Linked DNA regions of Oryctolagus cuniculus. The main gene of each other region encodes a partner of the protein of the gene in region 7 in a complex. Links are inferred from orthologs where the notes say so. Each region holds a gene or a part of one and is shown on either strand. Other genes may lie near its edges.

Region 1 (4,174 bases), on a different chromosome or scaffold from region 7:
CTCCAGAGGCTGACACAGTGAGAAGGAACAGTGCTAACCAGCAGGTTACACCAGATCCCTGGCTCCCTCTGCCAGGACCTCTCATGCTTTGAGCACAATGCAATGATGAACAGTAAATTCACTCCCGCATGCTTAGTCTCAGGAGTGGGAACTTACACGACGGCTCCACAGAGGCTCTTACCCACCTTGCTTTTTTTGAAGTCAAAGCTTTATTTTCATTCAGCTTTCTTCCACCACTTTCTGTATCAAAATATTTCAGTAAGTTATTTCTACATACTTAACATCACACCTACTAATTCAGTTAGAAGTTCATCCTTTGACCTCCCACCATTAGAATAGCCTATATCAAAATTTTTAAATTCTCGTGAAATAGCTAAGTTTTTGAGATGCTACTTAGAAAATATTAGGGAAACAATGACGTTTATGTGAGATGCAGTTTTCTTACTCAGACAGCAAGCAGTACTTTAGGGGTGAGTCTACATTTACTCCATCCACTATAAAATCTAGAAGTTACTACTTTGGTGTCACAGACTCTGAGTCCAGTTCAACTTTCGTTTCCTTCCTGGTGAAAACAGCTTAAGTAATTTTTTTTTTATAAAGAAGATAAAAACTAGGTGAGGAGAGGAGAAATTAAATTCGGACTCTACACTATGACACACTCATCACTTGAAAATATTTAGTAGGTTTGCTATCTCCTGCTTACTATGTTAGGAACCTGTGCATGTAACTGGGAGAACTAGAGAGAAGGCATTAAATCACTGGGGGACCCCGTATATTCTTTATAGACAAGATACTCTGAGAATACAACATCTCACTTTACAAATAAATGTAAAAATATATTATTCACAGGTGGTATTTAATTCAATTTCTGTTTTCCAAAAGAAAAAAAATACCTGTGGTATTTCTTGCACCATCCTTCCATGTATCCGGAGTGATAACAGTGCCAAGTTTCTTTTCACCTGTTGTGATAAAATAGTAAAAGGGGCATTATAACTTGCTAGTTAATAAATACACCACATGGTGCCAAGGCTCCCAATGCCATCAACAGTCATATTACAGTGGGAGCCTGTTAATGCTGGGGTAGAGGCTAGTGAACTGAGATTCAAGATTTTTTTTAAAAAAATTTTATTTTATTTGTTTGAAATGCAGGTTGGGGAGGCAGGTGGTTTCCCATTCACTGGTTGGGAGTGGAACTGGGACTCACATCCAAGGATGCAAAACCCAGACACTCTAATCTGGGATACAAGCATCCCAAGTGACAGACTAACACAAATTACATGGGAGGCCAAAGTTAGAGATTTAAGAACCACACCTAAGAGATGAGACATTTGGGCCAGCACATAATATAAAGATATTTAATTCAAACTTACTCAAATACACACACAAGTCCAAAAACCACTGCAAGTACAAGATGAAGCAGAGTTACAGACAGTCAGTGTCAAGTAAGATCATGCACTTTCTGAAGGGATGGACAGGTCAGCCTATGATCACACTGCACAACTCTGAATATACTGAAAACCAGTGAATTGTACACTTAAAGTGCATGAATTGCATGGCATGTGAATTACGTCTTAATGGTTATTTTCTTAAAGCTTAATGTAAGGCAACAATGGTATGTGGTGTAGTATCCAGAAGGAGGGAGGCATTAGTTGCACTCTGGCCCACATATGGAGCAGAGTTTAATTCTGTGTCACGCAGTAGTGAGTTATGACAGAGGACACACTAGGGACCTTTGTACCAGGCATTACCTATGTCATTTCATGTAATTCTCAAAAAAACCCAAGGCTTATGTTGCGTTCTCATTTTCAGATGGGAAATCTGGGAACACCACGCAGCTTTGCCATGGGTCTGTGTGTCCAGACTGTATCCATCTACCACGGGGATGCCCACAGGTCATGTTCATTAGACCATAATCAGGATTAAGAGGAGTGGAACTCTTGTCACAGAAGAGCCAGAGGGAGAGGATTTGGGAACTTGACAGCTGCTTTTAAACACATAAACAGCTTGGTAGGTCCACAGGGTGTATTTTCTACAAATCTTAAGAGTTTGAATTAAAAACACTGGGTGGCAACCACAGAGGAAAATACTTTCCTCAAGCCAGCAATGCCTCCTTGCAGAGACTTCTTCGTAGGTCGTGGGGGTCTCCAGCCTCCCCCACCCAGATACTGTTTCTTTCATAGGATGGGATGCATTCAGAATAAGCAACGAAGCCAATTTAGTAAGGCACGTCCTAAATAACCGAATGGGGCATACTTACAGCACTAAAAAAAAGTATTCGTTGTTTATCTTAAATTAAAATTCAATTGGAGGTCTGGAATTGCTAGATCTCGCAACTCCACACGCTACAGAAATGACTTTTAAGGTCCATTTTAAGCCTGACGGAGGCGGTCGAGAAGCCGTAACTGATGAGGCGAGAGCCAGAAGGCGGCGACGGCAATGGGCAAAAAGGTGCAGAACTAAGGCCATTCTGATGACAAAATATACGGGATTACACAGTCGATGAGGGGCAGGAAGGGTCACAGGGCAAGGGTGGGAGAACACAGGCTAGACTTAGAGACCTGTGGGAAAAGGAAAAACCAAGTTCCCAGGAGAGTCCGAGTAAGTTCTCCCAGCCTCCTCTCCCCACACAAGCGGCCCCTTAACTCACATTTTTCGCACACCATCTTTCCGCCGACGATTCGCCCTCCTCGCCCCAGAATCAGCCGCAGCTTGAAAACATCAACACTACAGCCTGGGAAGAATTTTCCTTCCGGGCTACGTCAATCTACTTCCGGCCCCTAATCCTCCGCTCCCGCCAATCCTACGCCTGGAAAGCCGCGGGAGGCATGAACGCCAGCGGGTAGGCGGGGCTGCCTCGTTTGTCCGCCCATCCCCTTCTGCGATTGGCTGTGCGACCGTGGGTCTCCGCCCCGCGCGCTTGCGCCTGCGCGTGGGCTGGGGCAGCCCGTTGTGCCTTGATGGTGGGAGGCAGTAGTTCCCTTTCCCTTCGCGGGCGGGAGAGTTAGGTAAGCCCCGTTGGCTGCGTTCTCCTCTGGGAGGTGTGGAAGGCGCCTCCGCCAACTGCCCGAGTGGTCGCGAGCTTGCGCGCCCCCGCCGGCCCTCGGAGGGCCTCCTTCCGCGTGACCCAGGGGCTCCCCTGCTGGACCGCTCCTCTTTCTCAGGCGCGTTCCTGCCCGCGTCCCTCAGCTTTCGCCGGCTGACGGGCCGAGCCCCAGTGACCCGGTGTGGGGTGGGGCTGCGGATGAAGTCCGCGACCCGGGCGGCGGCTGCCCCGGGAGGGCTCGCCGGCGCCCTGCTGGCCGGCGTGGGCGGGCCGAGATCGCCGGCGCCGTGGCGGTGGCCCCGCGAAGGCGCGCCCGGCAGGTGTCCTCGTGGGCCCGCCGAGAAGGGCAGGCGCTTCACCTGCCCGGGTTCCTTCGTTCTTTGAGCAGGCGCTGGAGTGTGGCTTCTGCTGCTGGGATTCCGAGGGTGGCCCAGAGAAAGTAAGGGGGATCTGTTGAGAGAATGGATTTCTGTTCCCCCTACCCGACCCGCAGGCAGCTGAGAGTCTGAGAAACTTTGTCCCTGCTTGTCGCCCGTTCTCTACCGGATCCCTCGTGTGTCCCTTTATGTCTGTAGCGCTGGGGAGCTTGGAACAAGTCTCCTGACTTGTTTTTCTTGTTTAATCAGTAAACTACTTGCCTTTGATAAATGACCGCGGGAATCAAATAAGAGCTATTCGCCAGTGAGCTCCATCCTCTCCCCACCCACATATGCTTTTATGTATTTTTTAGGGCTGTTTCTGTTTGGTGGAATATTCACAGTGTAACACGTTGACTATTTAATAAAGTCTGTACTCCACACTGCCAATACAATGCATAAGCTCTCAGGTAACTAAATACATGAGACAGTAAAATTTTTTCTGCCTCCATTCATGTTTTATTCTTGATTGGAATCTAGCACCTGTAACAGACCTAGTCATTTTGGAAATGCTAGAGTCTAGGGATCCCTTAGTTTAGGGTAATGCTCTTTGAGTTCTTTGGTTGCCTAGGCTGCCACTTGAATATTCCAGTGTGTCCTTGGCATTTACTAGATGTGAAACGCGATGTTAGATGAGGAGGGACACCAACATTTTAGCCAAAGTGTATTCGTGAGGTTTCTAGAAAGCATAGGTTGCATTTCCAACAGAGGCAGA
Region 2 (4,204 bases), on a different chromosome or scaffold from region 7:
TTTACCTGACTATGTAAAAAGCAGTGCTTTGAGAAAGACACCACGTTAGAAAGTTGCTCTATCATTTATTAGCAGAGCAATATTCAGTAGATGAGTCCTTTAACCACATTCTCCCTCTTTCCTGGATGCCGAGACTATCACCAAACTCATTTACCTCACTAGGCAGCTGCAGTAATCAAACATGACCCCTCTTCTAAGAAAAAGAGCACACAGGTTTCTGCTCACTGTGTGGGGTGGTGGGGGTGGGAGGGTAATGGCCCTGAACCTGAAGAATTCTGCTGAAGGTGGTAACACCATTTCTCTCAAACAGGCCCCAAAACATGGGAGAGGCTGGCACTGTGGTGTAGCAGGGGAAGCCACTGCCTGCAACACTGGAATCCCATACGGGCACCGGTTCAAGTCCCAGCTACTTCACTTCTGAGCCTGCTAATGCACCTGGGAAAGCAGTAGAAGATGGCCCAAGTGCTTGGGTCCCTGTACGTGGGAGTCCTGGGAGAAGCTCCCGGCTCCCAGTTTCAGATCAGCCCAGATCCAACCACTGTGGCCATTTGGGGGAGTGAACCAGTAGATGGAAGATCTCTCCCTCTCTTTCTCTGCCTTTCAAATAAATAATAAATCTTTAAAATGGGGAGTTGGGAGGGGACAATTATGGGATGGAGAAGGCAAAGGCCAAAGTTAACTATTCCAAATCTCCATACGGTTCTTTGCCCCAGTACTGTCTCTTGCTCAGGCCCACAGTCCCGGAGCCCGCGGCAGCGCCTGCCACACGTCGGGCACAATGGAGACGCCGCCAGCCTCCCGTACCTGGCAGTTCATGTTGTCTTCTGCCTCGATGAGCTTGCCCCGATACACCTCGCCGGTGTTGGTCTCGCAGGTCACGATGTGGCCCTCGGCCTCGTGCAGGACTTTGATCGGCACACCGATGGACATCTCGGCAGGAGGAGAGTGCTGTGGTGGGAGACACAGCAGTGAGCCCAGCCTTCAGAGCCAGAGGCCGCGTGTGGTGCGCACCATGTCTCCCCAAGGCCTGGACCCCATAAAACCTAACACCGGTGCCAAAGCTGCATTTTCTACACAAGAGCAGCTCAGCTCCTGGCTTGGAGGAGCCTTCCTGGCAAATACACACAATATGAAGAGGGGAGAGACAGCGTGCTGGACAGAAGGAAAGCTCACGGAAAGGAAAAGAATCTCCCACCTACCTCCCTACTCCTCACCTGCTCCCATGTCCCTTTACCTAGAGACAGAGTAAGGGACACAGATACAGATACAGAGAGAGAGAGAGAGAGATCTTCCATCCGCTGGGCCACTCCCCAAATGGCTGCAAAGCCTGGAACTGCATCTGGGTCTCCCTATGTGGGTGGCAAGGGGCTCAAACCTCAGGCCATTATCTGCTGCCTCCCAGGAGCACTGGCAGGGAGTTGGATAGGAAATGGAGCAGCTGAGAATCAGCCTGGCACTCTCACGTGGGTGCCAGCGTCACAGGTGGCAGCTTAACCAGCTGCCCCACAACACTGGCCCCTCATGTCCCTTTTCCTTGGCCAAGATAACCAGTGACCAATGTGGTCTGTGTGTTGGGAGAGAGGCGCTCGGAACGTCCATGCTGAGCAACACATCTGCCTATCCACAGCTGTGGGTGACTGCATCCTGAAAACCACGATGGGGTGCAGCGGGTACACCGGCATCCCACAGGGGCACTGGTTCAAGTCCCGGCTGTCTACTGCCACTCCAGATCTCTGCTGATAGCCTGGGAAAGCAGGAGAGGATGGGCCAAATGCTTGGGCCCCTGAACCTGTGGGAGACCGGGGAGAAGATCCTGACTCTGGCCTGGCCCCCAGCTCCAGCCGTTGCAGTCATTTGAGGGAGTGAACCAGGGGATGGAAGATCTCTCTCTCTGCCTGCCCCCGACCCCGACTGTGTAACTCTGCCTTTCAGATAAATGAATCTTACAAACAAACCAACCAACCAGAGGACCCAGACATATCCAGGAGAGGAGGCTGTGTTTTTATTTCAGCCTCTGACTTTCCATTCGCTTTACTGTTAAAGCTAAAGAGAAAACAGCAAAGCGGTCACAAAGGGACAACGTGTAGGAAACTGCTTATCTTGGAGGAAAAACACAAGGATCTGCCGACGTAGTTGAGAGACAAGCAGTGGAGTTTTTATTGAGCCAGGTAAGGACGCAAGGCTGGCACGAAATAAGGGAGAACACGACAGGGCAGCCAGGCTCGCTCCGTGAGGATCCCCAGCCCTCCGCCGCCAGAGCTGGAATGTTACGTTTCAGAGAGCACGGAACCAGCGCGGGATCTCAAGGAAGGAACGACCCAATGGAAAGGTATCAGCGTTTACAGGCCAAATCGAACACACAGTTCAGAAGCAGAGGAACTTCGGAAAACGCTTTTGCAATGGCGTGGAAAGCACGAGGGGCTGCATCAGCGCCGGAAAAGGGGGCTGGAGGCCAAGGATGACGCCGATGGAGTTCAGGGACGAGGCTAAGCAGCCAGAAACGAGGGGGAGGTAACGAACTCACTCCCCAGGCTCAGGCGAGGCGACGCGGGTGTCTGGGTGTCCCGGCTTCCCGCTTCCTTCCCTCCCGGAGCCCTGCGCGGTTCCTTGCAGCGCGTCCTGCCCCAGCCCCCGATCCCTCACGAGCGCCTAGGCCTCCCCTTTCCCGTCCCCGGCCCCTACTCACCGGCTCGAGCCCCTTCTTCCTCCTCTTCGGTGCTGCGACAACAACTGCGAGAGAGAAGGCGTGAGCGGGGCGAATGGCGGGCCTTGCACTCCCAGAATACCACGCGCTCCCAGAATGCCGCGCGCGGGGACCGTCCCAGAGCGCGAGCTCGTCTCCGCTTCCTCCTTACTCCGCCGGCTGGGAAACGCGGACCCAGGTACGATAGTTCCGGCGCCGGAAGAGAGGGCTGATGACAGGGCCCGGGGGCCGCCGGAAGCCCCGACGCGGGGGCCCGAAACGGGAGAGGGGGGCTTGCGCTTCCAAGCACCCCTCACAAAAGACTGGCTGGACGACAAGGAGGGGATCTACAGCCTGGGTCCTCGGATCCGGGGCAGCAGGAAGTGGGAATGAGGGCTGGGACCTCCCCTCACAATTTAATCTTTGGAACCCGGCACTGCCAGGTAACGGGAACTCTCAGAGAGGGGAGGTGTCGTGTCTGGACAGAGAAACTGAGGTACCAAGTGGAGCAGGGGCCGGCTCAGCACTAAAGAGATCAGAGTACGGTTGCCTGGACCCTAGGCAATCACAGGGCCGGAGCCGGCTTACAGCTGAAGCCGGCAAAGGGGTGGGGCCTGGCAGAGGCGGGGCTTGCTGAGGGAAAGAGCCCCTGGGGAGCCAGTGTTTGCGCTGCGCCGAGCCCTCGGGGAGGGGCTCAGAAGGGGCGGAGCTTCCGGGGGACCGAGCGAAGGAAGGGCCCGCGCGTCTGCGCGAGGATTCGGTAAGGGGGCGGAGCTACCAGAAACCGAGACTGTGAATGGCCAGGCCGGGCTTAAATCATGAGGCTGGAAGCCTCTAGGAATCGAAGTCTGGGACTGGGAAGGGGCGGGGATTAGGGGAGGGGCGGGGCCTCCGGATCCAAGACCTGGAGTGGCTGGGGCGGGGCTTGGGGCTGCCCGGCCGCCGCCTCCGCTTCTCCCCGCTGTGGCGGTGGCGGCGGCGGCTACGGCGTTCGACACGCATTGGCTGCGCTCCTGCGCCAGCTGAAGCCGAAGCTGCAGCCCGCAGCGGGCCGGGGCCATGGGCGCCCCGTGCTGCGCGGGTCATGAGGACGGAGGCGGAGGCAGCGGGGCCGCCGCTCGAGCCGGGTCAGTGCCTCTCTCTGAGGGCCCAGCCCTCAGCCCCGGGGAATGAGGGGGACCCCGCCCTAGCGCGGAGCAGGGTCCATCCGCGCGCGTCCCTGGCCGTCTCTGCCCAGGCTGTGGAGCTGTAGCGAAATCATGGCCAGGTGGACACCCTTGCCTCGGGCTCTTCTCCCTTCCCCCAGCCTCTGGTCAGCTGGGGTTTCCTGATACTAACAGGGCAGGGACCCCAGTCAGCTGTGCTGGCGGTCACGTGGGAGGGCCCCGGGTGGAGAGGGTGCCAACTACGCAAAAGTCCTCCTGTAGCCGCCTTGGGAGAGTCCGCTCTCTTGGGGGAACTGAACCTGGGTGGGCAGGGACCTGGGTGGGCCCTTCCCTTAGCTTGCAGGACGTAGCTAGT
Region 3 (4,176 bases), on a different chromosome or scaffold from region 7:
GAGTTACAGAGAGAGAGAGAGAGAGAGAGCGATATCTTCCATCTGCTGGTTCACTCCCCAAATGGCCGCAATAGCTGGAATTGGGCCAATCAGGAGCCAGGAGCCAGGAACTTCTTCTGGGTCTCCCACATGGGTGCAGGGGCCCAAGCACTTGGGCGCTCCTCTGCTGCTTTCTTTCCAGGAGCATTAGCAGGGAGCTGGGTCAGAAGAGGAGCAGCCAGGACTCAAACCGGTGCCCGTAAGAGATGCTGACGCTGCAGGCAGAGACTTAGCATACTACACCACAGTGCTGGCCTCAAATAAATAAACTTATTTTTTAAGATTTATTTTATTTATTTGAAAGACAGAGTTACACAGAGAGGTAGAGACAGAGAGAGAGGTCTTCCGTCTGCTGGTTCACTCCCCAGATGGCCGCAATGGCTGGAGCTGCACCGATCTGAAGCCAGGAGCTTCTTCTGGGTTTCCCACGTGGGTGCAGGGGGGCCGTTTTCTACTGCTTTCCCAGGCCATAGCAGAGAGCTGGATTGGAAGTGGAACAGCCAGGACTAGAATCAACACCCATATGGGATGCTGGCGCTTCAGGCCAGGGCTTTAACCCACTGTGCCACAGCACTGGTCCCCCAAATAAGTAAATTTTTTTTTTTTTTAAAAAAGGGGCTGGCGCTGTGGTGCAGCAGGTTAAAGCCCTGGCCTGCAGCTCCAGCACCCCATATGGGCGCCAGTTCAAGTCCTGGCTGCTTCACTTCTGATCCAACTCCTTGCTGTGGCCTGGGAAAGCAATAGAAGATGGCCCAGGTCCTTGGGCCCCTGCACCCATGTGGGAGACCTGGAAGAAACTCCTGGCTTTGGATCAGCTCAGCTCTGGCTGCTGCGGTCATTTGGGGAGTGAGCCAGCGGATGGAAGACCTCTCTAACTCTTTCAAATAAATAAAATAAATCTTAAAAAAAAAGAAAAGAAAAAAAGGAAAGAAGGAAGGAAGAGAAGAGTACAGTAGAGTGGGGGGAAATATTTTTAAAAATTCATAGAATATGTGCATTATGAAAAAAATTTAATTTTTTTAATTGCACCAAAAACACCCTTATATTTTAACTCCACTTCCCATTAACTTGCTGAAATATCCTTGTATTCACTGGGCAGGCACTGTATGAGGGGTTCAAGTAGTCGGATCCGTGACACTCATGGGGGGGGACCTGGATAGAATTCCTGGCCCCCAGCTTTGGCCTGGACCAGCCCTGACTATTTCTGTCATTTGAGGAGTAAAACAGCAGATGGAAGCTCTGTCTGTCTCTCTGCCTCTCAAATTAATTAATTAATTACAAGTTCATGAAAAAGTCTCACAAAAAAACCTATGTATGGACTTCAAACATTTCTGCACGAGGACAGGGATGAGGGCGCAGTGGGCCAACTGGCGGGAGTCCTGCCTCAAGTCCCAGCTGCTCTGCTTCTGATCCAGCCGGGAAGGCAGTGCTGGGCCCTTGTTGCCCCTGTGGGGACCTGAGGGATGAAGGTCCCGGATCCTGGCCCTGGCCTGGCCTGGCCTAGACCTGGGAGAAGTTGTGGCCATTTGCAGAGCGAACCAGTGGGTGCAATCTCTCAATCTCTCTCTCTCTGCCTTTCAGTAAACGACAAAGACTTTAAAGTCTACATTATCGTCGCATTAAAGATCCACCTCCAAGCTGCTCCCTCCCATTCCCTGTCTGCGATCCCATCTCTAGGCAGAGGGTGGGGCCTGGGTGGGACCCCCGCACTCCCGCACATTAGCTGTGACCTGATGGCCTGTGGGGCGACAAGGGGGGCCCCTAAAGGCCGCTTTGCCGACGACTCCCTTGCAACCCTCCCATCGCGCGGCAGCCCCGCAGGTGTCGGGTCCGGCCCCCCTTACCCATAGCGAACTCCACCAGGGTCTCGTTCTCCTCCGACAGCGAGTCCAGGAACAAATCCGGGACCTGAAGCTGCCGCAGGTACTGGAAGTTGCTGGGGTCATAGGCGAAGTTGGCCAGGTTGGCGAGGACCTGCTCCTTGGCGTCTGCAACGGGAAAGCGACCCTGGAGCCGGTCCCGGGCGGCGGCCCCGCGCCGGCCCACCCGCGGCCTCCCCTCGGCTCGCGGCGCCCACCCGCGGCCCTCCCCTCGGCCCCCGCGCCGGCGCCCACCCGCGACCCTCCCCTCGGCTCGCGCCGGCCCACCCGCGGCCTCCCCTCGGCTCTCGGCGCCCACCCGCGGCCCTCCCCTCGGCTCTCGGCGCCCACCCGCGGCCTCCCCTCGGCTCTCCCCTCGGCGCCCACCCGCGGCCCTCCCCTCGGCTCGCGGCCCTCCCCTCAGCTCTCCCCTCGGCTCGCGGCGGCGCCCACCCGCGGCCTCCCCTCGGCTCTCCCCTCGGCTCGCGGCGGCGCCCACCCGCGGCTCTCCCCTCGGCGCCCACCCGCGGCTCTCCCCTCGGCTCGCGGCGCCCACCCGCGCCCTCCCCTCGGCTCTCCCCTCGGCTCGCGGCGGCGCCCACCCGCGGCTCTCACCTTTGCTCGCGGTCTCCTGGAATTCCGTGACGAGCGCCTGCAGGTATCCCAGCCGCCCGACGTGGGGGTCCACCTTGGGCTTCTGGGCCATGGCGGGGCGGCCGAGCGCTCCTGGGCCCGGTGGGACAAGGGCAGAAGGCAGCCTGGACAGCCGCGTGAGACCCTCACCGCAGCGGCCGGGGGGCTCAGGTCCTGCGAGAATCCGCAGCTCGAAACGGCAAGTGGGAGGCGGGACCCTCAGGATCCTGTCAGAGTCCCGGCCGGAAGCCGCGCTAGTCCCGCCCCCGGAGGGCGGAAGGGGCGGGGCGGGGAGAGACGGGGCGGGGCGAGGCGAGAAGGGGCGGGGCCGTCACGGAGCTCTTCGGCTCGCGTGCGCAATGAGCTCCGGGCCCGCGGGGACGCGCGCGGCAGACAGGTGCGCGGTCGGGTATGCGGCGAGGAGCCGGGGCGACCCAGGAGTGCCGCAGAATCTGGGGGTGCCCACATAGGGGGCTGTCGAGGCAGACGCACACTCCCCACACCCGCTGGCGGTCGCAGCCCAGCCTTCTCCCCTAGACGTCCCCCTGGAGCCTCAGCGTCGGCTCCCTGCGACCCTTCAGGATTTCAAGTCCGGCCGACTCCGCTCTGACCCCATTGGGGCCCTCCACCTCTGACCCGAAGTCCCGAGGACTGGGGTCCTGCCCTAAGCCTCTGACAGCTGGGTTGTCCCGGGCAGCACCGGAGGGCCCTGGAAGGAGCCTCAGCTCGCCCCTGTGGACCGCTGCAGCTTTCTGCGTTGTTGGGCCCGGGATCCTGAAGCCCTTTGGTCTGACTCCTCGGAGCTTCTCAGGAGAGAACAGCACCAGGAAAGGAGGCCTTGCCACATCCCCATGGTGCTTGGAGCTGTGAGCTCCTGGGGCCAAGGAATGTGGCTGCATCCCTGGGCCAAGTACAGCTGCGGTGGACGCAGGCTGCAGCCCTGCCCTATGCACACCTTCTTCTTCTTTAAAGGTTTATTTTATTTATTTGAAAGACAGAGTTAGAGAGAGAGGTAGAGACAGAGAGAGAGAGAGGTCTTCCATCTGCTGGTTCACTCCCCAGATGGCCGCAACGGCCGGAGCTGTGCCGATCCGAAGCCAGGAGCCAGGAGTTTCTTCTGGGTCTCCCGTGTGGGTGCAGGGGCCTAGGGACTTGGGCCATCTTCCTCTGCTTTCCCAGGCACATTAGCAGGGAGCTGGGTTGGAAGTGGAGGAGCTGGGACACGAACCGGCACCCACATGGGATGCCGACACTATAGGCCGTGGATTTAACCAGTTGTGCCACAGCGCCATTCTGACCTTGGCCTTGGTGCTTGGGTACCATAGCTGCCCTTTGTCCTTTGACTCTGTGGGGATCCTGGATGGCCTGGGAAAGTGTGTCTTAGCCAGGGGACTTCCCGCCTGTTGCTGGACAGAGCAGCGAAGGCCTGGGGACCAGGAGCCTGGGGCTTGAGGGCACACGGAGGTGAGCTCCTCCCTTCTCTGGCCAGGAACTGCTTTCCCAGGAAAACACCCGCAGGTTTTGGTGCCCGATGGGCAACCCAGCCTCCCCCAGTGTCTGGTCTTATCCCTTCCTAAGGCCTCAGGGCCTGCTTGGAGAACTCCCAATCCTTGGTTTTGTGCAGAACTTGCTGCCCCTCTCTGCC
Region 4 (4,291 bases), on a different chromosome or scaffold from region 7:
GCAGAGAGGACAGTAAGAGCAAAGGCTCTGAGGCCAAACAAAACTCGGTGTGTGTGAAGAGTATTATGAAAATCAACATGACTGGAACAGGGACATGGGGGCAGAGGAGCATGGGTAAGGGGTCAATCAGGAGAGCTGGGTGCAGGAGGCAGACAACCTGCAGGCAGGTGGAGGTCACATGAGGGGCCAGCGAGAAAGTCACTGCAGTCGTCCAGATGTGCGGTGCTGGTGGTGATGAGAAGTGAAATTCTGGATGCATTTAGAAAAAAGGCAAAGACGGCGTTGACAGATCATACGTGGGGGTATGACAGAGAGAGGGAGGGGCAAAGATGACGGCAAGGTTTGGAGCTGAGGGAGAGGAAGGACTATGGAAGTGTGATCAATTGACAGGTGGAAGGCTGCTGGAGGGGGCTTGTCAGAGGGAAAATGAGAAACAAGGCCAGAGCTGGAACAGGATGAAGAGTAAATGGAGGGTCTTTGTTTGTTTTTTAATGAAAGACACCAGAGCACAAATGAAGGTGGATGAGTTCACTTCTAATCACCCCAGTTAAAGCCAGGATGGTCGATGCTCTGTGGCCATAGGAGAAGTAGGCCCTGAGGAAGCAGTGCAAAATACTTATGAATGAACAGGTGAGAAGTCGAGTCCAAGATATGGACAGACTTGCTTACTTCCATGGCCCTGCCGCTACCCTTTCCTGTGGTCGCTTCCCGTCGTTACTCCTTCAATCCTTTCATTCACTCATTCCAGACACACAAGTTGTCTCACTAACAGACACACCACACAGCCTTCCTGCCATGGCCTGCTCGGGCAGCTGCTACCATTAGGAATACTCACCCTGCTCTTGCCTCTCTCGCTAAACCCTACCTCGCCTTCTCTCACGCCACTTGGATCTGAGTCCTTACCATCTCTGGTCTAGACTGCTGGGCTCCCTGCTTCTACCTTCACTTACTAGTCTGTTGTGTTCACAGTAGATTCTGTTGAATCATAAGTCGCATCCTTTCTCTGCCTAGGGCCCACCCATGGCTATCATTTCATTCAGGGTAAAAGCCAAAGTTCTCATCATGACCCACAAAGCCCTGCCTGGTCTCGCCGCACCCCCTCCACTGCCACCTGACTTCTCTTACTAATTCCAGTCCAGCCGCGTTGGTCTCCTTGGTGTTTGTCAAACACTCCAGGCAGTGTCCACCCTCATGGCTATTATATTTCCTCTTCCCTCTGCCTCTCACCCCATTCAGACAATCCTAGGATCCAACTTCATATTCCAATATCTGGATTCATGTGTTAATGTTCCCAAAAAGGCTGGAAGGAGGAAGAGCTAGGCAGTAGGCCTCCAGTGTACACACAGACTTTCTTTGCTGTGTGTAAGAAGGCATGCATGGCAGACAGGGCAAGGAGAAACCAAGGGAGCAAGGGGGTAAGGGGCCAACTCACAGTTTCAGCTGAGTGTTCGCTGTCTACCCCTTCCTTGTTGGAGGTGTATCCTTTCTGGATCATGGGGATAGTGAGCATGGAGTCGGCATTTGCATTCTTTCTTTCTTCCAGGGACTTCTCGGTTTCTAAGGAAGAATGGGAGGGAGCAATGAGGTCCCACCCCATGTATCTTCCACCTTCTTCCTTGTCTTTCTTCACTGGAGCAGGGTGGGGAGAGGGGGCCCACTTACCCTCAATCAGTTCCTTCACAGCCTGGGACAGCACCTCATCCATCAAGGTCTTGGTGTCTGTGGATAGCCCAGAGGGCTGGACCAGGGGCTGCCTGTGATAGCCATTCTGAATCAAGGGAATGACAGGTTCCTTGGGGACCTCTGAGGGCTTCACACTGATGTGGACAAAGAAAGGTAAGGTGAGGAGAGAAGCAGGGTCCGTGGGTTCCAGCTACACCCCCCCTATGCAGAGAAACACAAGAGCCAAGCCCCCTCCTAGCTCCATGGACCATGCCTCTGATTGCACGTCATTGTCCCTCCAGCCCTTAAATGACAGTATCTTCCAGGAATCATTGCCAGGCCGTCTGTTCATCCCAAGAACTACAGATGACCATTTGCAGCCAGACTCTTCCCAGCTCCAGAACAGCCTCCTAGGCGGTTGCTTCTCTTCTGCGAGTCCCTCCCTCAGGCACTTCAGCCTCTTCTTTCCTAAAGATGCTGATGCGGCCTCCCTCAACCTGAATCTGCAGCTCCATCTCGTTCCCCGTATTAGAGTCGCCCCCATTCACTTTAGCTGAGACAACAGGGTCCTGTAATTATTCCCTCTTTCCCACTTATCTGAACGCACACACCAGAGTGTCCCAGCATCATAAAGGTATTCCCTGTCATGAATGTGAGGGCATTTCAAAAAGTCCATGGAAATGAATACTGAAATAATGCGCATTTCCCACGAACTTTCTGAAGTATCCTTATACATCTTCTCAGTCCACACGGCCATGAAAAGCAACTTCCCTACTTCTCCCACAAGCTCCTGCCTTCTCTCCTCCACGGATTTCCTGAGGCCGTGGTTCAGGCTTTCCAGGCCACTGTCATCAAAGCAAACTACTCGAGTCCTCCCGCTCGCACCCACGGCACCGATTTACAAGGGGCGAAAGACCCGGCGCTTCACCTTTGTAGCTGCCTCCCTTCCACGGTCTTCAAGAAATCCTTCTCCTCTGGGGCGGACTCTGCGCCATCACTTAGGGCCACCAGCCGCCTCCGAGAGGACGTACGAGTAAAGGCGAATGAAATTGGGGCAGTAGAAGGTGCAGTCGGCTGCAAAACACCATCTTCGGCGTCTGCCATCTTGCCCCAGTTCCCAGGCTGGTGCGCTGCTTGCTGGGAAGTTTAGTTTGGGTTCAATTCGCTAGCGGCAGTCAGACAAGCGCAAGAACTACATTTCCCAAAAAGCATTGCGGCGTCGGCCGACGAAACCAAACAACTAGCCGTAGGAAGTTATTGTAGCGCGTCTGAATTTCACAGGAATGCGCCTGCGCCAAGTATACCGGGAACTGTAGTTCCGCCAAGAGGCGGTAGCGGTAGAAGGTAGATTCCTTCTTCCCAGGAGTTCGTTTCTTCTTGTTTTAGAGAATGGTCTTGAAAACAGGTATTCCATTATTCTAACAATCTCATGGCTATGTTTCCAGTTTAGAAACCCTGGGCATCTTGGGATGGGCCCTGAACTCCCAAAGGAACAGCTACAGTAACTTTCAAAACAGAGCAATAAATTTTTAAAAAATCTTTATTCAGCAATACTTTTAGACTTACATGTCGCGAAGTAATACTGTTCTTTTTTTTTAAAAAAAGATTTATTTATTTGAAAGTCAGAGTTACACAGAGAGAGGAGAGGCAGAGAGAGAGAGAGAGAGAGAGAGAGAGAGAGGTCTTCCATCCAATTGTTCACTCCCCAGATGGCCACAATGGCCAGAGCTGTGCCGATCCGAAGCCAGGAGCCAGGAGCCTCTTCCCAGTCTCCCACGTGGGTGCAGGGACCCAAGGACTTGGGCCATCTTCTACTGCTTTCCCGGGCCATACCAGAGAGCTACACAGGAAGTGGAGCAGCCAGGTCTCGAACCGGTGCTCATATGGGATGCCGGCACTTCAGGCCAGGGCGTTAACCCACTGCACCACAGTGCCAGCCCCAAGTAGTGTTCTTTTATATCTTTTATCCAGATACTCTTAAGCTTTTTATATAACAATAGTATAATTATCAAAATCAGAATGATGCAATACTATTAGCTGTAGACAATTTTCTGTTCCAGAATTCAGAATTAAACCTAAGATCACATATTGCAATATAATTGCAATGCCTCCTTTCTCTTCTTCAGTCTTGTGGCAGCTTCTCAGTCTTTCTTGACTTCTAACTCTTGCAAAGTACAGTTCATTTTTTTGTAGAACCTTCCTCAGATAGGTTTGTCTGATGATTTCTCATTGTTGGACTGAGGTTATGAATGTTTGGCAAAAAATGATGCAGAAATGATGTGCCCTTCTAACTATATCATACTAGGGGATTTGTGATGTTGATATGTCTTATTACAAATGAAGTGAGCATGGATCACATGGTGCTATAGTTTGAATATTTATCTCTCTTCACTCAGGAGTTTAGTCCTGAAAGGATTTTTTTAATGATGTATTTATTTGTTTTTAAAAGGATTTATTTATTTTTTAAATTTTTTTTTTTACAGTGAGACAGGGAGAATCAGAGAGAGCTCTTCCATCTGCTGATTGACTCCCCAGATGGTCTCAATGGCTGGGGTTGGGCCAGGCTGAAGCCAGGAGGCTGGAACTCCATCTGGGCCTCCCATGTTGGTGGCAGGGGCATAAGCACTCA
Region 5 (4,293 bases), on a different chromosome or scaffold from region 7:
ACCACCTGCAAGCCAAAAAGCAGTTCCCTACCCCCACACAGGTGAAACTAAACCTGACACCTTATTTGACACCTTATTCTTCAAATTCTAGACTTCAGAATAACGAGAAAATAAGTTTCTAACATTTAAGCGACCTAGTCTGTATTTCGTTATGGCAGTCCTAGCAAACGAACACAGCCACTATGGAAAATAAACAATTTCTTTAAAAATTAAACATGCAACTACTATACTATACTATAGTATAATATATAGCATATATACTATATATGCTATACTATACTATATACTATACTCCTGGGCATTTATCCCAAAGAAATGAAATCTTATGTTCACATAAAACCTGTTCACAAATGTTTATACAGCAGTTTTATGTGTAAGAGTCAAAAACTGGAAACCTAGATGTTCTTTAATGGACAAACGGCTAAACTAATACTACAGATACCACTCAAGAAGAAGGAATGAACTGATCAATGCAACAACCTACATGCCAAAGAACTTTGCTGAGTGAAAAAAGCCAGTCCCAAAGGTTACATGGTGTGTGATGCCGCTTATGTAACTTTTTTTTTTTTTTGACAGGCAGAGTGGACAGTAAGAGAGACAGAGAGAAAGGTCTTCTTTTGCCGTTGGTTCACCCTCTAATGGCCGCTACACCGCGCTGATCCGAAAGCAGGAACCAGGTGCTTCTCCTGGTCTCCCATGCGGGTGCAGGGCCCAAGCACTTGGGCCATCCTCCACTGCACTCCCGGGCCACAGCAGAGAGCTGGCCTGGAAGAGGGGCAACCAGGACAGAATCCGGGGCCCTGACCGGGACTAGAACCCGGTGTACCGAGTGCCGCAGGCGGAGGATTAGCCAAGTGAGCCGTGACGCCGGCCTGTAACATTCTTGACACATGACAAAATTAAGCCAACAGATTAAAAGTTGCCAGGACTTATGGAAGGGAGAAGGTGGGAAAGAAGTGGGTGTGCTATAACAGGACAACATGCCATGTCCAGGTGGCAGGAAAAACGTTTTGTAACTTATGCCAATATTTTGATTGTGATATTGTGACTACACTTCTGTACCATGCTTCCATTGGGAGAAACACCTGTCTTTATTAAATCTGATCTAAATCAGTAATTATCTCAAAATAAAAAAGCTTAAGAAAACCAGCAGAAATTTACCAACAACCAAAACAAACTCACACACTCAGTTTTCAGAAAAGCCCGCTGCAGGTGTAGGTGCTGTCTCTGTGGGTGTGCTTCTGGCTGGCTGTTTCCCTGGCTGCGGTGGCAGGAAGAGGCGCTGGCCTAAGACCCCACCTCAACACACCCCAGCCCACTTACCTGCTTCACTTTGACTGCCGAGTGGTGAGGACTCCGACTTCTCTTGCTCCGAGGAGACTTGCTTCTTCTCCCCGAGGACTTGTTTTTCTTTTTGGCTGGAGACCTTTCAGGGCATGGTACACACAGGATTTTATCTCAGTTTCCCTTCCCCCACATAAGCTAGCTTCTGGTATGGGGCTTACCTACTAACACAAACACATTTGTGAAAGACTGCTGATCACACCAAAGGAGCCGGGGGGCTTCCCGTTCCTCACCTACTCTCCCGCCTACGCCGCTGCCTCGGAGCCTCGGATCCTCCTCACTCAGGGAACACGGCTCTCCATCCCCTACCCTTTGAAGACTCTCCTGTCCAGGTCTGTCCCTTGGCTGTTCGCCCACCACCATGCAGAAGTCACTCTCATCACCACAATTCACGGGAGGCACCTCCTCCCCGGCCCACCTCATCGCTACCATCCTCCTCCTCCTCCACGATCACGACTTCTAGCTCACGTTCCTTGCACGTTTCCTCGGCGGCCAGATCACTCAGGTCTCTGCTCAAACGGCACCTCTTTCAAAGAGTTCTATCCCCGCTTCCTTCCAGTCTCTCACGATCACCTTACTGGGCCGACCTAGCCCTGAGACCTGTTGCCATCGGAAACTGTTTTGTTTGCATGTTGGCAGTCTTCCTGGGGCTCAAGCTCGTCCAATTTCACGAAAGCCTCACCCGTGTGGCCCAGGTCCCTAGTGCACTCTTTAGTACCCTATAGGCATTCAGTAAAAGTACGCTGAACGATGAACAAACAGTGCACCTAGCAGATCGCTTATACTCGCGTGGGGTGGATAAGGGCGAAGACAACGCCCGCACTCCCTGCGCGGGCAGACGGGGGGAAAATCTTTCAACTTAACGGACGATGAGTGCTAGCCGCTGGGCCACGCGCTCCGCGAAGTGCTGGCGACACACGAAAGAGGGGGCGAGGCCCTGACCCACAGGCATCAGCTCGACCCCAGCTGTCACGCAAGTAACCAGCACCGGAGCACACACGCCTTTACCCGAGCGCGACCCGGCCACTCCCACCGCCTCCCGCTGCTGGGCTCGGCATTCAGAACCCACTTCTGATGCCGGCCCTGTGCTCTTTTCTCAATGAGTCCGACCCAAGGTCCACCCCGGCTGTTCTCTGCTTACCGGCTCTCTCCCCGGGCTCTGCTCCCGCGGTGGCCAGGGCGGCCCGGCTCGCCGGCCGGCGGGGACGGAGTAGCGCCGAGGTCCGGCCGGCGGGGGGCGGGCGGCTCGGCTTCCGGGCTGAGGCGCTCCTGCTTCACCACCACCGCCGCCGCCGCCGCCGCCACGTCCCCCTCCCGGTGCCTCCGCCGGCTCCTCCGCTCCCGCTCGCTCTTCACCTCTTTCATTCTGCGACTCGGGTCGGGCAAAAGAAAAGAGGTCCGTTGAGCCACTCTCTCCGAAGGAAATGACGAGCTTGACCTCTGGACTTCCGCTTCCGGGGTGTGAGCTCTCCCAGCAACCCTCGCGGCGGAGCGCTGAACATGTGACGGCGCCCCCCCCGTGGGCGGGGCTGCAGGGAGCCGGCCCGAAGGGCGGGAGTTTTAAGTTTGGAAAGCAAACTACTGGGGAAAAGCGAACCTCTCAAGTTAATTCTTCACCGCGTAACTACAGAGCATGTGGGCAACCTCAGTGTACAGCTGTAGGGGGCTCCTTAGCCAATCACTGGGCATTACGTAGCTATTAGTAACGTTATCACGAACCATATACCGCTTTGTGGAAAAAGCCCGGACCGACACGGTAGAGGAAGGCGACGAAACTGCGCGCCAACCGTGATTCCATTTGGCCTTGGAAATACAAAAATGCAATCATAGTAGCCCGTGGACAAATCCTGCTATGTCAGTTCGCCATTTAACCTTGAGGAATACTTTTTAAAGCCCTGGGGATTCCAGAGACCCTCTTTTGGGGAATGGTCTCCAGCCCTTCACTGAGGTGACAATCTTGGGGCTCAGCGAAGGGGGATCTACCCAATCACGCAAGTTGCGCGCTATACGCAGCGCAGGGACTCGAACCCCCGTCTCCCGGGCGACCCGGCTGGCAGCAAGATTAAGACGCCGAGTGCCGGGGCCGAGCGCCAGGGCTGCGCGGGACGCGTCCGCGCGCCGCGCCACGCCCACCCGAGGCCCCGCCCCGGCCGGGAGGGGGGGCGGTTTCCATGGTGACCGCAAACCAGGCCCCCATCGCCGCCATGATCCCCCCGGCCGACTCTCTGCTCAAGTACGACACCCCGGTGTTGGTGAGCCGGAACACGGAGAAACGGAGCCCCAAAGTGAGGACGGGCCTCGGGGGACCGGGCCAGGCAGATCCCCGCGGCGAGAGTCCGGAGTCCGGGGACGGGCCCTGGGACGGGCGGAGAGGGAGCGAGTGGTCCGGGTGGTCCAGATGTCGCTGGGTGTGAGCGCCGCAGGTTAGACCTGGTCGCGGGGAGACAGACGGTAGGGATTCCTCTCCCGGTAGTCGGGTTCAAGGACAGGTCAGGTCGCGATGTCCCCACCGCTACAGGTGGGAGCGCAGACGCCTGACCGCTTCCTCCAGAAACACTGGTCCGCGCATTGCGTTGGGACCAGGGACTCTTCACGGGCTGGGGGTAGGGGAGGGGGTGCGCAAGACCCGGAGGCGTCCAGGGGGCTGAAGGCCTGAATCGTCTCTTCCCAGGCTCGGCCACTGAAAGCCAGCCCCCAGCAGCCGGGACCCTCCAGTCCAATCCCACAGATAACCAAGACCAAGCTCCCCTCAACTTCCTGTGTCCCAGATCCTACAAAGCAGGCAGAAGAAATTTTGAATGCCATTCTGCCCCCAAGGTAAAGCGTGGGCGCAGAGGCTGGGAGAAGACCAGACTTTGGTAGTGTGGGGAGAGGCGTTCGGCCCCCGTGCCTGGCCAGGGTTTCCTCCCTTGCTGGCCTGGAGCCGAGTCCAGAGGGTGGCAGGAGACC
Region 6 (4,052 bases), about 23 Mb from region 7:
AGATAAGAGGTGAAAGTAGGAAATGAAACATACGTCTGTTAAAGGATCATCTGCGTCAAGGTTGGCAGCAGGAATCTGGTCTAACCGAGGCTTCTTGGATACTGAAGAGGAAGTTGTATGTTCTGGGGGTAGGCAAACATCACCTAGTTACTGACACACGTTTCTTACGATTCAGGGACTCATGGGCACAAAACAATCACACTAAAAGCATCCCAGCAGCAGGGCTCATACAGTGGCTAGCAGATAAGCATTTGGATAAATATTTATCGAATGACTTAATGAAAGCACTGATTTTATACAGGAACTGCGGCCTCAGGAAATTCAGGGAATAGTTTATACATGTTGGGAACCTAAACCTGATCATCACTTCTAGGCTAGTTAAGAAAGCACTGTAATTCACACTAATACTTAAAAGCAAACAAACAGAAATATTAACAGTTTCTAATTAACACATAAAAAAATATGGAGAACATAATTTTATGAGACAAACGTTTGGGATAGCGTTAGTACCCCGGGTTGGACGATCCCTATTTTTCTCTCTGGCAGCAGCTCTCTCTCTCTCTTCCAGCTCTCTCCTGAAGTCCCGGTTACGAACCTCTTCAGGGGCATCCTGAGTAGTTTGCCTAAATTATAAACCAATCAGGGTCAAAAGGTTACTAGAAAGAAAAAAATACATGGCTGTAGCAATGAAATATAATTCATCACAGCAACTTTGTCCTTTAAGCCTAAGAGGAAAGTTGTCAGAATTATGACACAATCTGAAGGTTGAACTGCATACTTTCCCATAATACAGCTACAGATTTATTATAATGTCCTTAATTTTTTGAACTATGCACTTGGCTCAGTGGTTATGGTGTTGTTTGGGACACTCCATAAAGGAGTGTCTGGGTTTGAGACTCATCTTTATTCTCCATTCCAGCTTCCCAGTAATGTGAACTCTGGAAGGCAGAAGGTGATGGTTCAAGTACTCAGGTCCCTGTCATCTACCACATGGGAGACACAGATTGAGTTCTTGGTTCCTGGCTTAAGTATGGCCCAGCCCTGACAGTTGCAGGCGTTTGGGGAGTGAACCAGCAGATGGGGGATCTCTTTCACTCCGCTCTTCAAATAAAATAAATAATTTTTTCCCTAAAAGCAGGTATTTAATTGTTGTATTATTAGAAATTCAGGGCCTGTTACAGTAACGCTTTCAATGTCATGTTGACTAATGCTGGTAAGTGCATAGTTTCTCTGAGATAATCCACTAGCTACCATTCCATCTCCATATGGAAACTCCTGGATAATAAGAATTTGGGCTGCAGGAAGGGGATAGAACTTTAAAATCACAGAGTGTAATTTTGATGTTAAACTTTCTATTGTATTCTATTCCTCTGAAAATGGTAACTGAAGTGATACAATTCAAACCTACCCCTACTACACATCATGGCCATGCTTTTCAACAGATTAGGCCTATTTCATGAGCAAGAAAAAGCTGCGAGTCTTTATACCTATATTTTATCTTTGTATGGGAAGGTAAGTCTCGGCTGGAATACTGCTTTGAGAGTTGGCTCAGATCACCTTCCCCTTTTCCTCTTCCACCTCTTGCAGGTTCAAAAGTTGGTCTGGCTGCTGTCGTCATCTTTGACGCTATGGGGGAAAACAAAGTTGTTTCTAATGCGACATACTTTCACTGTGTAAGGTACTAAACAAATATCCATCCTTGTGAAATAATCTCAAAACTTGCTTCAATAACCCTCCCAAACCAAAGTTCTGAAGGAAACCAATTATGAGGTGCAAGGGCAGCTTTTATCTCACACCAAAAATTCTGTGGTGAAGACCTGAGTTTCTGCTCCTGTTCCCCTTCTGTGTGGCCTTGGACAAGTGACCAATCTTTCATTTATAGAATGGGGCTATTCCTCAAAGAATTATGAGATCCCACATGTCAAAGCCCTAAAAGTTCTCAGTTTAAACCTTAGTTTAAATGTCCTTAAGGAAAAGACAAAAAGAAAGAAAATTTAAAAATCACTGACAAACTCTTAAGTGTCCCAGAGGTAAGTGTGCTGAAAATCAGTGGGAAACATTCTCCAACAATCTTGTGGATTCGATTTTCTCCTGGGACAGTCCTCACAACATACACGTCAGGCTACAATTTAAGAAATGCTCCAATGACAGAAACCTAATCCTCAAAGGAATCTGATAACGGAAAGAATACTGCCCAGCTGATGGGGCTACTAAGAGCCCAAAAGCCCGTTAACGTCAGAAAAGCAAGTGTCTGGGGAGGGTGCAGAAGACGGCAGGATTATTTTGTATGCTTCCCTCGGTTTCCAAAAGGCCGTGAAAGCCTGCGTAAGGAGAGAGAGAAGCAGGTTTTCTAGGGTCGGGGGCGCCGCCGCTTCCCAAAAGCTTCAGGTTGATCACTCCGGCCGCCCGGGAGCCCGCCTTTCGCCTGGCTGGCCTGCTTCAAGCCCCGGCTTAAAGCCACAGAGGGCAGAGCTTCGTTCCGCGCTGGAGGCCGGGGGCTGCGGGCGCGCCCGGCCGGCACCGGGCTCCACCGCCCGTCCGCGGCTCCCGGTCTTTCCCGCCGGCGCTCGGCACTCGGCCAACGCCAACTCTGACCCCGACTGCCGTCTCCCACGCCACCCGGATAAGAAACACAAACTGCTCTCCCCGTGCCGCTCACCTAGGAAGACGTCCGATACTACACTCACGGAAAATCATACAGACGCCATTGTGCTTGATAGCTCCCAGAAACCTCTGCGCCCAGGGCCAAAGCCCAAGACCCGGAAGCAAAACCCGAGCATTTTTAACCGCCCCAAAGAGGTGGCGGCAACGACCAATCCTCAGAGGCCAAAGTGGAAGTCGGTGTGACGACATCAAGGGGCGGGGCTGAAACGGCCCAGGGGGCGGGCATTTGAAATCAGTGCTTTAGAGCAGACCTTGAACATCATCTTACGCTTTCGAGAGCCAGTTACTTAATGTCTCTTCCGTCTTTCCCTTCCCCAACCCCCCCTCCCAGACTCCTTCATTCCGGCACTGCGTGGATGGAAAACCCGGTGTAGCCGACACCACATCCATGGCTAGCGGGAGAGAGCGTGCAAAGGGATTTCACCAAACAGTTTAAATCCAACGATTCTGTTTCCATCCTTTCTCCTGAGCTAGAGCCAACAAGCCTAGAAAACTAGGCTGCGGAAACACTAGTGTTTTCATTTAATTGGATATGAAGAAAGAACAAATATGTGCGGGGGCAACCACGATCTTTATAAAGGTACCATTCCTGCAAAAATATTAGACTTCACAGCAAAGGTTGTATTCGTATTGTTTGCTAAGTTTTTTTTTTTTTTTTCCCTTTAAAATGCCCTTAAGTTCTGTGAGAGGGGAGATGTCAGCATTAGCGTTTACGACCTTGAACGTTTAGAACGGTGGGCCCAACCGCCAGTGGCACGGGGTGGAATTATTAAGATGGCTACTGATGCATTAGGGGAGGTTGTAGTAAGACCAGGAAAAGGCAAAAAGTAAATCACCAGTCGTTTTTCTTTCTCCCCTGAGAAACAAGCACTCTGAGAGCAGGGATCTTGTTTGTTTAGTCCTTCCTGGTAGAGTGTCACACATGGTAGTATCCTGCGCAGTATTTGTTAAACCAGTGAAAATTTAAGTTTTCCCAATTTAGTGTCAAAATTGAACATTGAAGGATTTTTCCTGAAAATTCTTTCTTTGAAACTTTTAAGTGAAACCAATGTAGAAAAAGCGCCTTCCTCTGTAAGGTTCAAGTTGGAAAATTTTGTGTGTGTTTGCTTTTTCTTTCAAATATATTCCTCCCCAAGTCCTGCACATCAGTAAAGGATGCAGCCATCACACTAGTTACTCAAACCAAAAACCCCAGGGCACCTACTTAACAGTTGCTTTTGCTTCACTATTCACATCCTGTTCCTTCGCAAGTCTTGTCAAAATTTACCCTAAATTCCATTCCACAATCATGATCTCATCAAAACCACCATCATCTTCCACCTGGATAGTGATTAATCATAGCTAGCATTCCTCACTTGCATAAAACCCCCTGCACTTAGATTAAAGAC
Region 7 (4,008 bases):
AGAGAGAGAACTTCCAGCTGCTGGGTCCCTCCCTATATGGCCACAATGGCTAGGGCTGGGCAGGCTGAAGGCCGGAGCCAGCAGCTTCTTCCAGGTCACCCATATGAGTGCAGGTGCCCAAACACCTGGGCCATCTTTCACTGCCTTCCCAGGCACATTTGCCAGGAGCTGGACCAGAAGTCGAGCAGTGGGTAGCAAGGGCATAAGCACTCCTGGGCTGCCTTTCCTAGACAAGCAGCAGGGAGCTGGATCGGAAGTGGAGCAGCTGGGTCTCAAACAAATCCCCATATGGGGTGCCAGCATTAAAGGTGGCTTTACCCTCTATGCCCCAACACTGGGCCTGTTTTGCTTTTCTAAAGCTGAGAATAATTATAGCTTTTGTATTCATGATTAAACTACCCAGGTTAAATAAAATTTCAGTTATCTTTGCTGTTAACTGAAGTTGTATCCTTTCTCTGTTGGATCTGAGTTTGAGCAACTTCGATCTACAATAAGTCCTTTTTTTTTTTTTTAGACTTTTTAAACTTTTTATTATTTATTTCAAATAGTTACAGAGAGAACGGTAGAGACAGAGAGAGAGTTCTTCTATTCGCTGGTGCAAGGGCCAGAGCTGCACCGATCCAAAGCCAGGAGCTTCTTCCGGGTCTCCCACATTTGTACATGGGGCCCAAGGACTTGGGCCATCTTCTACTGCTTTCCCAGGCCATAGCAGAGAGCTGGATTGGAAGAGGAGCAGCCGGGACTAGAACTGGTGCCCATATGGGATGCTCGTGCTTCAGGCCAGGACTTTAACCCGCTGTATCATGATGCGGGCCCCTACAATAAATCTTTAATTTATCCTTTTTTGTTTTTCAAGTAAATTTTGTTTATTCATAAACATAACTTAGTTCACAAAGGTTTTTTTTTTTTTTTTTTTTTTTGGACAGACAGAGTGGATAGTGAGAGAGAGAGAGAGAGAGAGAGAGAGAAAGGTCTTCCTTTTGCCGTTGGTTCACCCTCCAATGGCCGCCACGGCTGGTGCACTGCAACCGGCATACCGCGCTGATCTGAAGGCAGGAGCCAGGTGCTTATCCTGATCTCCCATGGGATGCAGGGCCCAAGCACTTGGGCCATCCTCCACTGCCTTCCCGGGCCATAGCAGAGAGTTGGCTTGGAAGAGGGGCAACCGGGAAAGAATCCGGCGCCCCGACTGGGACTAGAACCCGGTGTGCTGGTGCTGCTACTTGGAGGATTAGCCTAGTGAGCCGTGGCGCCGGCCGTTCACAAAGTTTTTAAAAATTTTGTCTGCAGACTTTTAACATAAAGGCCTAAGAGTGACAAGCAGGTGTCGGGGGAATATATTAAAAACAAAAGTATCTTTGGTGATTAAAAAAAACTTGGAAACCTATTATTCTAATTATTTTACAGGGTTTTTCTAGTTGCAAAATATTACAAGTCAATGAAAAAGAGAATATTTGTAGCTTTGTTTCACTAAGTGTTGAATAGGGTCATCTGGGCAAAGACCACAAAGATTGTGAGCAGGGACAGAAAACCTTTGGCTGACTAGAGGAGTGAGAGAAGGGAAGACTGCCAGTGTTAGCAAGGATTGATCAGAAGTGTCTGTTCATATGTGGGGAGAAAAATGGGAAAGAGGCAATTCTTGACAGAGTGATATAAGCAAAGATATGAAAACATGATAGTGCAAGTCATTTTTTAGAGACAGTAAATGCATCAGTTTAGTATTAAAAGATGATGAGAAAGTAGTTTGAGGCTAATGTATGAAGGCCTTTAAAGATAAAACTGGGTGCTGGTGTTGTGGCCTATGGGTTAAGCTACTGCCTGCAGCGCCAGAATCCCATATGAGTGCTGGTTTGAGTATTGGCTGCTCCACTTCCAATCCAGCTGCCTGCTAATGCACCTGGGAAAGCAGTGGAGGATGGCCCAAGTGTCTGGGCCCCTGCACCCATGTGGGAGATCTGGAAGAAGCTCCTGGCTCCTGGCTTCAGATCCGCCCAGCTCTGGCCATTGCGGCCATTTAGGGAGTGAACCATCGGATGGAAGACACTTTCTCTTTGTGTGTGTTTGTGTGTGTCTAACCCTACCTTTCAAATAAATAAAATCTTTAAAAAAACATAAAAACTTAACGCCTTGGGAAAAGTTAACAGCTGCAAGTGTGATGGTGCCATGAAGATTCCAGTTCTGTGAAATGACTATTGACTTGCTTGAGGATGTCCTGTATTTTCAAGTATAAAGAGTGATGTCTGGTGCTTGAAGGTATTAACTTTTTTTAAGGTATTTAAGCGATAATCAGAGAGAGATTGTAGTGATAGACAACCAAGCGGGAACCTCATTTTATTAAAGTTTTTAAACAATACCTTACAAAATTTTGTGTGTGAATGAATTCTCAGTAAATCCCAAACAGCTTCTCTCAGTGCTAAAAACTGGCTGATAAGTGCCGTTGAATTCTTTGTAAACCTAACAAAACTTAACAGAATTTCTCATTCTGGGAAAGAAATGATTTTCTCTATGTAATTTCTTTAGAAAACTGCTTGAGAATAGTTCATTATTATGTGTAACAGTGGTCAGAAATATTTCTCTCCATGGTACAAAACAATGACTCAACCAAAACCTAGGAATGTAATCAAAATGCACCCATACTATTAGGTACAAGTTCAGACAGTCCCTGTTTGCCCTCCTTTTTATTACTCCTTCTTACCCCATTGTGGTTTAGCCTGACTAATCTATTTGCAACACATCAACATTCTGCAGAAGTTTTGTAGTTTCTATTTGAAGGGAACAAACTGGAGGGCTGTGGAAATTTCAGATTTCATCTCAGATAGTATTTGTTAGTAGTGTGTGTGTGTGTTTGTGTATTCTTAAACAACAATCCTTTTTTAAAAAGTTAGTGTCACTTGAGAGGGAGGAGAGACAGCCAGAGAGAGGGAGGGAGAGTGAGAAAGGGTGCTCCCACCTGCTAGTTCACTCCCCAAATGTCCCCATCAGCCAGGACTAGGGTGGTTTGAAGTTGGGAGCTGGGAAGTCAGTCCAGTTCTCCCACATGAATGACAGGGATCCAATCACTTGAGTCATCACCAGGAAGTACATTATTAGGAAGCTGTAGTCAGGAGCCAGGGCCAGGAGCACCTGGGAGGTTTTATTTATTTATTTATTTATTTGAGTGGCAAAGTTATAGACAGAGAGAGGGAGAGACAGAGAGGTCAGTCTTCCATCCACTGGTTCACTCCCGAAATGGCTGCAACAGCTGGAGCTGGGCCAATCTGAAGGCAAGAGCCAGGGGCTTCTTCTGGGTCTCCCATGCAGGTGTTGGGACCAAGAACTCTGGATATCTTCCACTGCCTTCCCTGGCCACCAACAGAGAGGAGCAGCTGGGACACAAACCAGTGCTGCAAGTGGAAGCTTAATCCACTAAGCCACAGCGACAGCCCCCCTGTAATGTCATTTAAATGAAGCGAGGAATGAAGGCTTCCTCTAGAGGAACAGCCTTTAAATGCAGAAAAGGGAGCAGACGTTTAGCCCAGTTAAAATGCCGGTTAAAGACATCTCTGCCTGATATCTGAGTACCTGGGTTTAGCACCTGGCTTTGGCTTCTGGCTCCAGCTTTCTGCTAATGTAGACCTGTGTGGCAATGATCATAGCTCCAGTAATTGGGTCCTTGCTATATGTGGGAGACCCAGATTGAGTCCCGAGTTCCTGGCTTTGGCATGGCCCAATCCTGGCCATTTTGGGCAGTTGGGGAGTGAACGCCACTGGATAAAAGCTCGCTCTCTCGTTCTCTCTCTGCCTCTCAAGTTTAAAAAAAATCAAAGAAGAAATTAAAGAGGACAGTGGCCTTGGGGACAGGGAATGGAGTGTGCTTGGCATATAATTTAATATGTCAGCAGAGAAGAGTTCCACAGTAAGCTGGAACAGCCCTGCTGATGTAATGGGTATAGTCTGAGGGAACGGAAAAAAGATCGTTTAGCAGAAGGAAAAAAAAAAAAGATTGTAGTATCCTTAGAAGGCCTTGAA

The links.
Region 1: BUD13 (region 7) and CRIPT share a complex: the UniProt entries of both Homo sapiens proteins name them as parts of the minor spliceosome. The link is inferred for Oryctolagus cuniculus from reciprocal best matches to the Homo sapiens genes BUD13 and CRIPT.
Region 2: BUD13 (region 7) and SNRPD3 share a complex: the UniProt entries of both Homo sapiens proteins name them as parts of the minor spliceosome. The link is inferred for Oryctolagus cuniculus from reciprocal best matches to the Homo sapiens genes BUD13 and SNRPD3.
Region 3: BUD13 (region 7) and ARMC7 share a complex: the UniProt entries of both Homo sapiens proteins name them as parts of the minor spliceosome. The link is inferred for Oryctolagus cuniculus from reciprocal best matches to the Homo sapiens genes BUD13 and ARMC7.
Region 4: BUD13 (region 7) and GPKOW share a complex: the UniProt entries of both Homo sapiens proteins name them as parts of the minor spliceosome. The link is inferred for Oryctolagus cuniculus from reciprocal best matches to the Homo sapiens genes BUD13 and GPKOW.
Region 5: BUD13 (region 7) and SNIP1 share a complex: the UniProt entries of both Homo sapiens proteins name them as parts of the minor spliceosome. The link is inferred for Oryctolagus cuniculus from reciprocal best matches to the Homo sapiens genes BUD13 and SNIP1.
Region 6: BUD13 (region 7) and CWC15 share a complex: the UniProt entries of both Homo sapiens proteins name them as parts of the minor spliceosome. The link is inferred for Oryctolagus cuniculus from reciprocal best matches to the Homo sapiens genes BUD13 and CWC15.

What each region holds. Positions count from the first base shown.
Region 1 is NC_091433.1:156,146,859-156,151,032, forward strand, and holds the start of CRIPT (cysteine-rich PDZ-binding protein), read right to left. Parts: upstream 2,801-4,174; 5' UTR 2,664-2,800; coding exon 2,648-2,663; intron 960-2,647; coding exon 894-959; intron 241-893; coding exon 186-240; intron 1-185. Other genes in the region: PIGF (phosphatidylinositol-glycan biosynthesis class F protein), read left to right, coding at 3,854-3,869. UniProt on the Homo sapiens protein: As a component of the minor spliceosome, involved in the splicing of U12-type introns in pre-mRNAs. Involved in the cytoskeletal anchoring of DLG4 in excitatory synapses.
Region 2 is NC_091452.1:31,112,355-31,116,558, forward strand, and holds the start of SNRPD3 (small nuclear ribonucleoprotein Sm D3), read right to left. Parts: upstream 2,801-4,204; 5' UTR 2,687-2,800; intron 949-2,686; 5' UTR 931-948; coding exon 805-930; intron 1-804. Other genes in the region: protein GUCD1, read left to right, coding at 2,916-3,126. UniProt on the Homo sapiens protein: Plays a role in pre-mRNA splicing as a core component of the spliceosomal U1, U2, U4 and U5 small nuclear ribonucleoproteins (snRNPs), the building blocks of the spliceosome.
Region 3 is NC_091448.1:5,404,931-5,409,106, forward strand, and holds the start of ARMC7 (armadillo repeat-containing protein 7), read right to left. Parts: upstream 2,801-4,176; 5' UTR 2,605-2,800; coding exon 2,514-2,604; intron 2,028-2,513; coding exon 1,884-2,027; intron 520-1,883; coding exon of another isoform or gene 491-519; exon of another isoform or gene 1-490. UniProt on the Homo sapiens protein: As a component of the minor spliceosome, involved in the splicing of U12-type introns in pre-mRNAs.
Region 4 is NC_091453.1:34,252,582-34,256,872, forward strand, and holds the start of GPKOW (G-patch domain and KOW motifs-containing protein), read right to left. Parts: upstream 2,801-4,291; 5' UTR 2,767-2,800; coding exon 2,591-2,766; intron 1,818-2,590; coding exon 1,663-1,817; intron 1,558-1,662; coding exon 1,433-1,557; intron 1-1,432. UniProt on the Homo sapiens protein: RNA-binding protein involved in pre-mRNA splicing. As a component of the minor spliceosome, involved in the splicing of U12-type introns in pre-mRNAs.
Region 5 is NC_091438.1:135,212,807-135,217,099, reverse strand, and holds the start of SNIP1 (smad nuclear-interacting protein 1), read right to left. Parts: upstream 2,801-4,293; 5' UTR 2,710-2,800; coding exon 2,486-2,709; intron 1,427-2,485; coding exon 1,324-1,426; intron 1-1,323. Other genes in the region: DNALI1 (axonemal dynein light intermediate polypeptide 1), read left to right, coding at 3,516-3,629, 4,016-4,161. UniProt on the Homo sapiens protein: Required for pre-mRNA splicing as component of the spliceosome. As a component of the minor spliceosome, involved in the splicing of U12-type introns in pre-mRNAs. Down-regulates NF-kappa-B signaling by competing with RELA for CREBBP/EP300 binding.
Region 6 is NC_091432.1:86,202,907-86,206,958, forward strand, and holds the start of CWC15 (spliceosome-associated protein CWC15 homolog), read right to left. Parts: upstream 2,801-4,052; 5' UTR 2,660-2,800; intron 1,627-2,659; 5' UTR 1,619-1,626; coding exon 1,488-1,618; intron 624-1,487; coding exon 511-623; intron 123-510; coding exon 34-122; intron 1-33. UniProt on the Homo sapiens protein: Involved in pre-mRNA splicing as component of the spliceosome. Component of the PRP19-CDC5L complex that forms an integral part of the spliceosome and is required for activating pre-mRNA splicing.
Region 7 is NC_091432.1:108,946,649-108,950,656, reverse strand, and holds the start of BUD13 (BUD13 homolog), read left to right. Parts: upstream 1-1,208; 5' UTR 1,209-1,239; intron 1,240-4,008. UniProt on the Homo sapiens protein: Involved in pre-mRNA splicing as component of the activated spliceosome. As a component of the minor spliceosome, involved in the splicing of U12-type introns in pre-mRNAs.